Mus musculus: one gene and its partner. The main gene of each other region encodes a partner of the protein of the gene in region 2 in a complex. Links are inferred from orthologs where the notes say so. Each region holds a gene or a part of one and is shown on either strand. Other genes may lie near its edges. The genes, in order: Nop10 and Nhp2.

Region 1 (3,116 bases), on a different chromosome or scaffold from region 2:
CTCACTCTGACAGCTCTTCCTCTTGCCCCCAAACACATAATCAAGCTCCCTAAAGCCATGTGTATCCAGGGGATTGTCTAAGTCATTGCTAGAGTCACACGTTTCCTTTTCTCCATGGTGACTAGTACTACCTCCAGGTTGAAGTCTTTATTTTGGTATGCACAGCTCGTGGCATAGAAGTAATGCTAACAATGCTAATGTTTTATTTTTGCAATCGAAGGACAGAATTAATTGTATCCAATACTGAAAAAAACCAAGAAGACATATCTCCTACCAGACAGATTTCACTGGCTTGGTAAAGAAACATCCACAGGCTGGCGCACACCTTTAAGATAGTGTTCAAAGGCAGAGGCAGTTAGACCTGAGGTCCAGGGCAGCCAGCTCTACATAGAGACTCTGTCTAAAGAGAGAAAAAGAAAACTTCCAGGGTTGGGCATACTTGTTATCTCAGAACTCAAAATGTAGTGGTAGGACTGGAGAGAGGGGTGCTTCCCAGAGGACCTGTGTCTATCCCCTGCAGTCACAGAAAGACTAGCTATCAGTCTCTAGTCACCAGGGATCTGACTCCCTCTTCTGGTCTTGATGGTTACTGGCACATATAGGCATAGACACATGTCGGTAAAATACTAAAACACACATACATTTTTTTTTACTCTTTGAGGAATTCAGAATATTTTTTAAAGGGCCCACAATTAGACAGTAGTTTTCCAGGGAATGCTGACCTTTGTAGGAGTCTTTCACAGCCTTTTTCCCCCCAACACCCTATCGTCGATGGCACACAGTTCTATTGCTACAATGAGGGCTTACGAATGTTCTCAAGTGGCCTTGTACTACCAACGGTACTACCCTTCCCCCATCTCTTCCTCCAACAACACACAAAATGAACTTTCAGTTCACTATATCTTTAATAACCTGGCATGAAAAAAAGAAAGAAAAATATTGTTCCTTTTACAGGCGAGGCCCATCAGTATAGACTCATTCACGTGGTGAGTGAGATAGGATTCCAAACAGCATGGGAAGGCTTCAAGGCTTACAGATTGACGCGTTTGGTTGCTGATAATAGGCCGAGGCATGAGCAGCGTAAAAGATTAACGAGCCCTCAGAGGACAGGACGCGGTTGCTGGGTCATGAGCACCTTGAAGCGTTTCTTGATGGTGATTCGGTGTCTTGAATATTTGTCATCTGGGGAGAACCGAGCAGGATGGGCGGAGCAAGTCTGTTGTCCCATAGGGTCAAATTTCTGCTCAAGGAAAAATAAAAAATATCTCAATATGAGTGGTGTGATAGAAAGAAACAAGAAAATGGGTGACCTGAGGCCAGGAGATCGCGTGGTCAGAAAAAGAAGCCACTGCCTATCTACCACGTTTTGGCTCCGACATGGCTCCACTCAGTGGGCTGCGCAGGCCGGTTCCAACTGTTCCTCCCATCTAAATTTCTCGTCCTTTTGATATATAGCTGTTTCCTCCTCCCCTTACCTTCAGCGTATAAACGCGATCGCCCTGCTCGTTGAGGTAATATTGGAGAAACATAACTGCCCTCAGCAAAAAGACACACGTACTACCGCCAGCCGCGTTTACTCCGAGTGCGCCGCTTCAATCGCGTGCGCCAACAACCTTCCAGATTGGACGGAAGTCTCTCCAAGGCATCCTGGGAAATGTAGTCCATTTCTCCAGTCATATCCATGTGACCAGAAGGGGGCATAGTAGAGCAAGTCTTGCTTGGCCTTGGGTTCCAGCTAGCAGCAACCTTGCAAAGTTATTAAGATCCATGGAACTGCCCACTGTGTGCCAGCCACTTGCCAGGGATTAGGAAGTAGGGATGGATGTGGGTTGAATGTTGATGCATCATTCACTGTTGATATCAGTCCTATCTTTAATTTCAAATTGCACACCCATTTCAGAGGCACCACTTTTCGAATTCCTGGAGAAACAAGGACTCAAGGATTCTCAACCTCCTATATCCTAGGGAAGAAGTTAAGATTTTTTTTTTTGAACCCTACTTTTTACATCCGGTTTCCCGCCCAATTTCAGAGTATTGGCGGCAAAGAGTGCATGATGGGTATTCGATATTATGCAAAGCGAACAGAACGGAAAGGTTTTCTTGTGAACCGGTGGATTTTGTTTTAGGGATCGAACCAAGATTCAAACTCGGGACCTGACCACAAGTTCAGCTCTTTCTTATATGGTGAGTAGCAGATAATAGCAAGTAAGGTACGCCTTCTCGGGGTATTTCCAGTTTTTAAAAGACTGAAAAGTCTCATAAGATTCTAGTTTAAGGTGGCGCACGCCTTTAATCCCAGCACTCGGGAGGCGGAGGCAGGAGGATTTCTGAGTTCGAGGCCAGCCTGGTCTACAGAGTGAGTTCCAGGACAGCCAGGGCTATACAGAGAAACCCTGTCTCAAAAAGAAAAAAAAAAAAAAAAAGAATTAAAAACTAAAACCAAGATATTGCAAAATGATCATTGCAGCACTACTTATAGTGGCAAAAATATAGTAGCATACTAAACTTGTAGCCAGAAAAATCGTAAAGTTTTTTTTTTTTTTTTTAAGTAGTGACTATAGACAGTTCGACTGCCGTTTTCATGAGATACATTAAAAAAACCCGGGAGCTTAACCCGTGCTTGTAACCCCAGAAGTCCAGAGGCTGAAACGGAAGGATTTCTAACATCCTAGGTCCAAGGCCTACCTGGACAGTATTCTAAACAGTGAAACCCTTTTTTAAACCGAGAAACAAACAAACAAAAGCGTGGTGGGTGGGTGGATGTGTTCGCGAGTGTTCGTGTTTTTGTGTGGGGGGGGTGTGGGGGGGCGTGGGTGTTCGAGATTTTGCGGGGGTGGGAATATACAACAAACAGTTAATATTGGTATCTTCTGGCATGGAGGTCTTGGTACAGGGAATGAAAGGGAAGAGTGTTTGCTGATGTAGGGTTTTTTTTTTTTTACATAGCCTGGATTTTTGTTCGTTTTGTCTAGGTTTTGATGTTATTGTTGTCGACTTTTAACACACACACACACACACACACACACACACAGACAGAATTTTAGTCCTTTTCACCCTCCCATCTCCCTTTCTTAACTCCCTTGGACTCCCCCTCAAAACTTTTCTTAATCTGACTT
Region 2 (4,505 bases):
CAACACCTGAGATAATTCCTCAAACAGCCTCCCTAGGGCCAAGATGGGAATGGGGCAGGGTGGGCATGCGCTTCTCACCGTCTTAGAGGGGATGTAGACGTAGGGCAAGTTCTGGTCCTCGCACAGAACTGGAAGATGGCAGTACACCTCAATCGGCAATGTATCTCCTGCCAAAACCATGATCCTGCAACAAGAGAAGGCACCATCAGTTCTCCTTTGCTCCGTCTCTTTCCCTTTCAGTTCTAAGAGCTATCTCCAGCCTGGCTGTGAGGGCAGAGTCCAAGAAAATGCCCCACCCCAACCAAGGACCCCCACACTAGCCTTCAACTTCTGAAAGGAGTACAAAGTCATGTTTGGCAAATGCATTCCTCTGGGGACATGGTCTCTACTTGACAGCATGTAAATGCCACCGAATGTGACTAGAGGTGAAGTGCTGGGACAGATGAGGTACAGGAGAAATACCACGAAATAGGAACTCGGCTCTCCTTAGAGTCAGTTATGTTCCAACCAGGAGATGACCCTTGAACAGAGACTTGAGTGCCATGATGATTCCAGAATGGCAGGTGTGGGGACAGAATAAGGCCAAGGGTGGTACTGAAGGGCTGGTTGCCTTCTGCAATAGATAACTAGTGTGTGTGTGTGTGGTGGGGGGGGGGTGTCAGAGAACAAAGCTGAGAGGACTGGCAGGGATCACACCTAAGTGTTTGAGTAACACACAGACTCTGTCCCAAGAGAAAGCTTGCCAGGGCCCTCAACCATGGCTGAGAGCTGTCAGTGTACCAGACCCAGAAGTCCTGAAGATCTGCCCGGTGTAAGGGTGGTAGACATCTGTTTGCATACTCCGTTCCCTTTGGCACAAGGCTGGTCCTTTCCACTTGTTCCTTTGCTGTCCTTCTTTGTGGTCCCTTTCTCCTTGCCTTCCTGACCTATCATGGTGCCAGGGGCCACCTGAAGCTACCAGCCCCCATCTGCCCTACCAAAACATCTGCCTGTAGAATAGCTAAGCAGAGCATGTCCAAGGCATTTTCCATGTCAACTCAGGACGCCTCAGAGGGTAAAGACACTCACTGCCAAGCCTGGCCACCTGAGTTCAATCCCAGGGGCCTGAATGGCAGAAGAGAATCAGCTCTCCAAGTTGTCCGCTGGTGTTCACATGGGTACCAGATGCACATGTGTCCATACACATGCAAGTAGGCACCCACACGTAATAAAAGGTATCTAAAAACCACACTTCAGATGTTTTCACACAAACCTGGCTTTCCTCCACTGTCTGTCTGCAGTCACACACTACAGCCCAAACTAGCATGCAAAGTCATTATATGTCACCGTCTCTCAAATCCCTCAGCTGTAGCTCCTGCCCATCACCTGCCTTGGGCCATAACAGCTTACTAAGTCTGACTTGCCTCTCCTAATTCTTCCCTCGATGTCACGCCTCAGCTTGCACTCTGTTCTGAGAACACTAAACCTACCTTAGAAAGCCCACGAGGGGGAAAAAGAAAACAACAACAACAACAACAACAAACAAAACCGGGCATGGTGGGGCACGCCTTTAATTCCAACACTCCGGAGGCAGAGGCAGGCGGATTTCTGAGTTTGAGGCCAGCCTGGTCTACAAAATGAGTTCCAGGACAGACAGGGCTACACAGAGAAATCCTGTCTCAAAAAAAAAAAAAAAAGAAAGCCCAGGAGGGCTGGAGAGCCGGCATACGGGGATGCATAGCCATTTCTGGGGGTGCATGGCCATTTCTAACTCCAGTCCAAGGAGACCTTACACCTTGCCTTCTGGTTGCCAAGGGCACCAGTGATGCACCAACATATACACGCAGGCAAAACAGTCATACACTTAAAAGGAGTAACCACTTACATTGTGTAAGTGCCACTACACTGCCCTGTCCAAGAGCCTACTCTTCTCAGGATTCCACCCCCTCACCCCAAATAAACCTTCATTCATTCATTCTCTTCCTTTGTTGTTTTGAGACAGGGTCTCTATACATAGTCATGGCTGAAAACTTAAGAGATCTGCCTCTGATGGGATTAAAGGCCTATCACTGGCTTATCATTTTCTCCTTTTGGGAGTTTTGTTTGTTTTGAGACCTGTCCATAGACCACGACGGCCTTGAACTAGCTATACTTCGGAAGCTAGCCCGCATTCTCCCCTGCCCTACTTGGGAAAATGTCTCTCTACATATAGCACGTTGCCTAGAGCCTGAAAAAGTTGTGCCGTTCTACAGAGTGAATGATCAGGACTCTAGTTTACACGGGCTGGATTCCTATTCTCTTCCCTGTCATTTACTGGGAGTTCCATTTACTGGTAGTGAAGGGAGTTGACTGCTAGACTGGTTGGTCAACTTCACCTTTATTGAGTAGGTGGAATTTCTTCTTAACCAGTTAATAAGCCAAACTTAGTGCCGTAGTACTTGTGTACCGTGCACAAGGCCCTAGGTTCAATCCCCGGCACTGGAATATAAAAATAAAAACCACACAAAACTTAAAAACCAGAGGAAGCCGGGTTCTTACCCTTTCTCGCCCTTGTTGACAAATTTCTGAACCTCCTTCACCCCGCGACGAATCTGCTTCTGCTTCACAGCTACAAAGAGAGAGAAGCGTGAGCCGACACCTCGCTCACGAGGCTCGACCCCGGGCCGCCCAAGTCACCGGTCCCGGACCGCGATCGCCACGCGCCCGCCTCACCCTTCTTGATGCACTTGTAGAGCTTGCGCGTCAGGCGGCGGGAAGCCAGGGGCTGCGCGATGGGGTTCAGATTGACCAGCAGCTCTTTGTACGTGCGCTCCTCGCTGCAGCCCTCCGCCTGCGCCTCGGACTCTTCGGGAGCGGCCTTTACTTTGGTCATCTTAGCAACTACAACTCCGTCCCGGCATAGAGGAACCACGCGGCCGCCGCCTCCGACATCACTTCCGGGTTTTCAAGTGGCTCTACCCTGTGACCAATTGGGAAACTAAATATTCTACACCGACCAATCTCTAAGTAGATCTCTAGGGGCGGGATTTTGGATATGGGGGCGGAGTTAAAGGTCAATCTAAGCACGGGATTTGGATTTTCACCGCGGGAATCCCAGGGAGGCCGAATTTAGAACCGGGTTTCCAGAGGGAAAGGGGCGGGGCCTGGGGCCGAGAGGTGGGGCCCAAAGGGAAAGAGGCGGAGCCCAAAGGGAAAGAGGCGGGGCCCGGAGAGATTGAAGAGCGGGTGGAAGGAAAATACACAACGGGATTGTGTCCCCTGAGCTCCTTGTGACCTGCCTTGTGACCTGCTGCTGCTGGTTAGGTAAAGCCTGGCGCACCTGAAAGTTTTTTCATATTTTCTTTTCCCCCTCCTAGATCCTGTTGCACAAACTATAAACCGCACACCTTTGATCCCAGCAGTGGGGAGGCAGGGGCAGGTGGATCAGGTCAGCCTGGTCTACATAGTGACTTCCGCTGGGCAGTAAGGTCAGCCTGGTCTACATAGTGACTTCCGCTGGGCAGTAGTGGTGCATACCTTTACTCTCAGCATTTGGGAGGCAGAGGCAGGAGGAACTCTGAATTCAAGGCTAGCCTGTTCTACAGATCGAGTTTCAGGACAGCCAGGATTACACAGAAACAGTCTCCAAAAAAAAAAAAAAAAAAAACCGCAAAGAAAAAAGAAAAAAAAGAGGCCGGGCAGTGGTGGCGCATGCCTTTAATCCCAGCACTTGGGAGGCAAAGGCAGGTGGATTTATGAGTTCAAAGCCAGCCTGGTCTACAGAGTGAGTTCCAGGACAGCCAGGGCTATACAGAGAAACCCTGTCTTGAATAAAAACCAAAAAACAAAAACCAACCCCCCCCAAACAAACAAAAAAACACAAACAAACAAACAAAAAAACCCACTCCAGTTCCAGGGGATCTGAAATGTCTAATCTGCAAGGGCCTCAGGAGTGCATGTGCTGCACAGATGTGCTTTCAGGCAACACACTCACACACAGGAAATAAATCAATCAAAAGTTCTTAAATGTTAAAAGCAAATCTGAAAAACCAGAAAGGTAGGAAGGAAGGTGACATGTGCTGGATGAAGAGTCCAGCTAGCTAATGAGAACCCTGGAGCAACAGGAAACGGGGACCTCAGCTCTGTGACGTAGAGGGACTGAAGCTGGTAAGGGTGAATATGAAGGAGGATCCTGAGTGCCAGATGCCAAAAATCAGGCCCACATTTAGATCTGTGTTTTGTGAAGGACACAGAACTTACCTATCCCTGATTGACAACTATGAGACCTGTGAGATAGTTGAGTATGATTTCCAGCCACTAAAAGCCATCACTTGGACAGCAGCAAGAGGACCAGGATATGTCAGATTGGGATACATTCTCTGAATTGCCAAGAAAGACAGAACCAGGGAAGGCTGTTGGAGGAAGGAGCACTGGGTAGCCTAGTAAAGATTGAAATCATCTCTCTTTTTTAGGTTGTAGGGAGGCCTGGATGTGTCTCAGTAAGCGATTACTAAATGGTGGGGAAATCAAGTATTTAAACAGCAAAT

The links.
Region 1: Nhp2 (region 2) and Nop10 share a complex: the UniProt entries of both Homo sapiens proteins name them as parts of the H/ACA small nucleolar ribonucleoprotein (H/ACA snoRNP) complex. The link is inferred for Mus musculus from reciprocal best matches to the Homo sapiens genes NHP2 and NOP10.

Annotation. Positions count from the first base shown.
Region 1 is NC_000068.7:112,260,437-112,263,552, reverse strand, and holds Nop10 (H/ACA ribonucleoprotein complex subunit 3), read right to left. Parts: upstream 1,628-3,116; 5' UTR 1,530-1,627; coding exon 1,476-1,529; intron 1,241-1,475; coding exon 1,100-1,240; 3' UTR 655-1,099; downstream 1-654. UniProt on the Homo sapiens protein: Required for ribosome biogenesis and telomere maintenance. Part of the H/ACA small nucleolar ribonucleoprotein (H/ACA snoRNP) complex, which catalyzes pseudouridylation of rRNA.
Region 2 is NC_000077.6:51,618,164-51,622,668, reverse strand, and holds the start of Nhp2 (H/ACA ribonucleoprotein complex subunit 2), read right to left. Parts: upstream 2,897-4,505; 5' UTR 2,852-2,896; coding exon 2,692-2,851; exon of another isoform or gene 2,588-2,691; coding exon 2,518-2,587; intron 185-2,517; coding exon 79-184; intron 1-78. UniProt on the Homo sapiens protein: Required for ribosome biogenesis and telomere maintenance. Part of the H/ACA small nucleolar ribonucleoprotein (H/ACA snoRNP) complex, which catalyzes pseudouridylation of rRNA.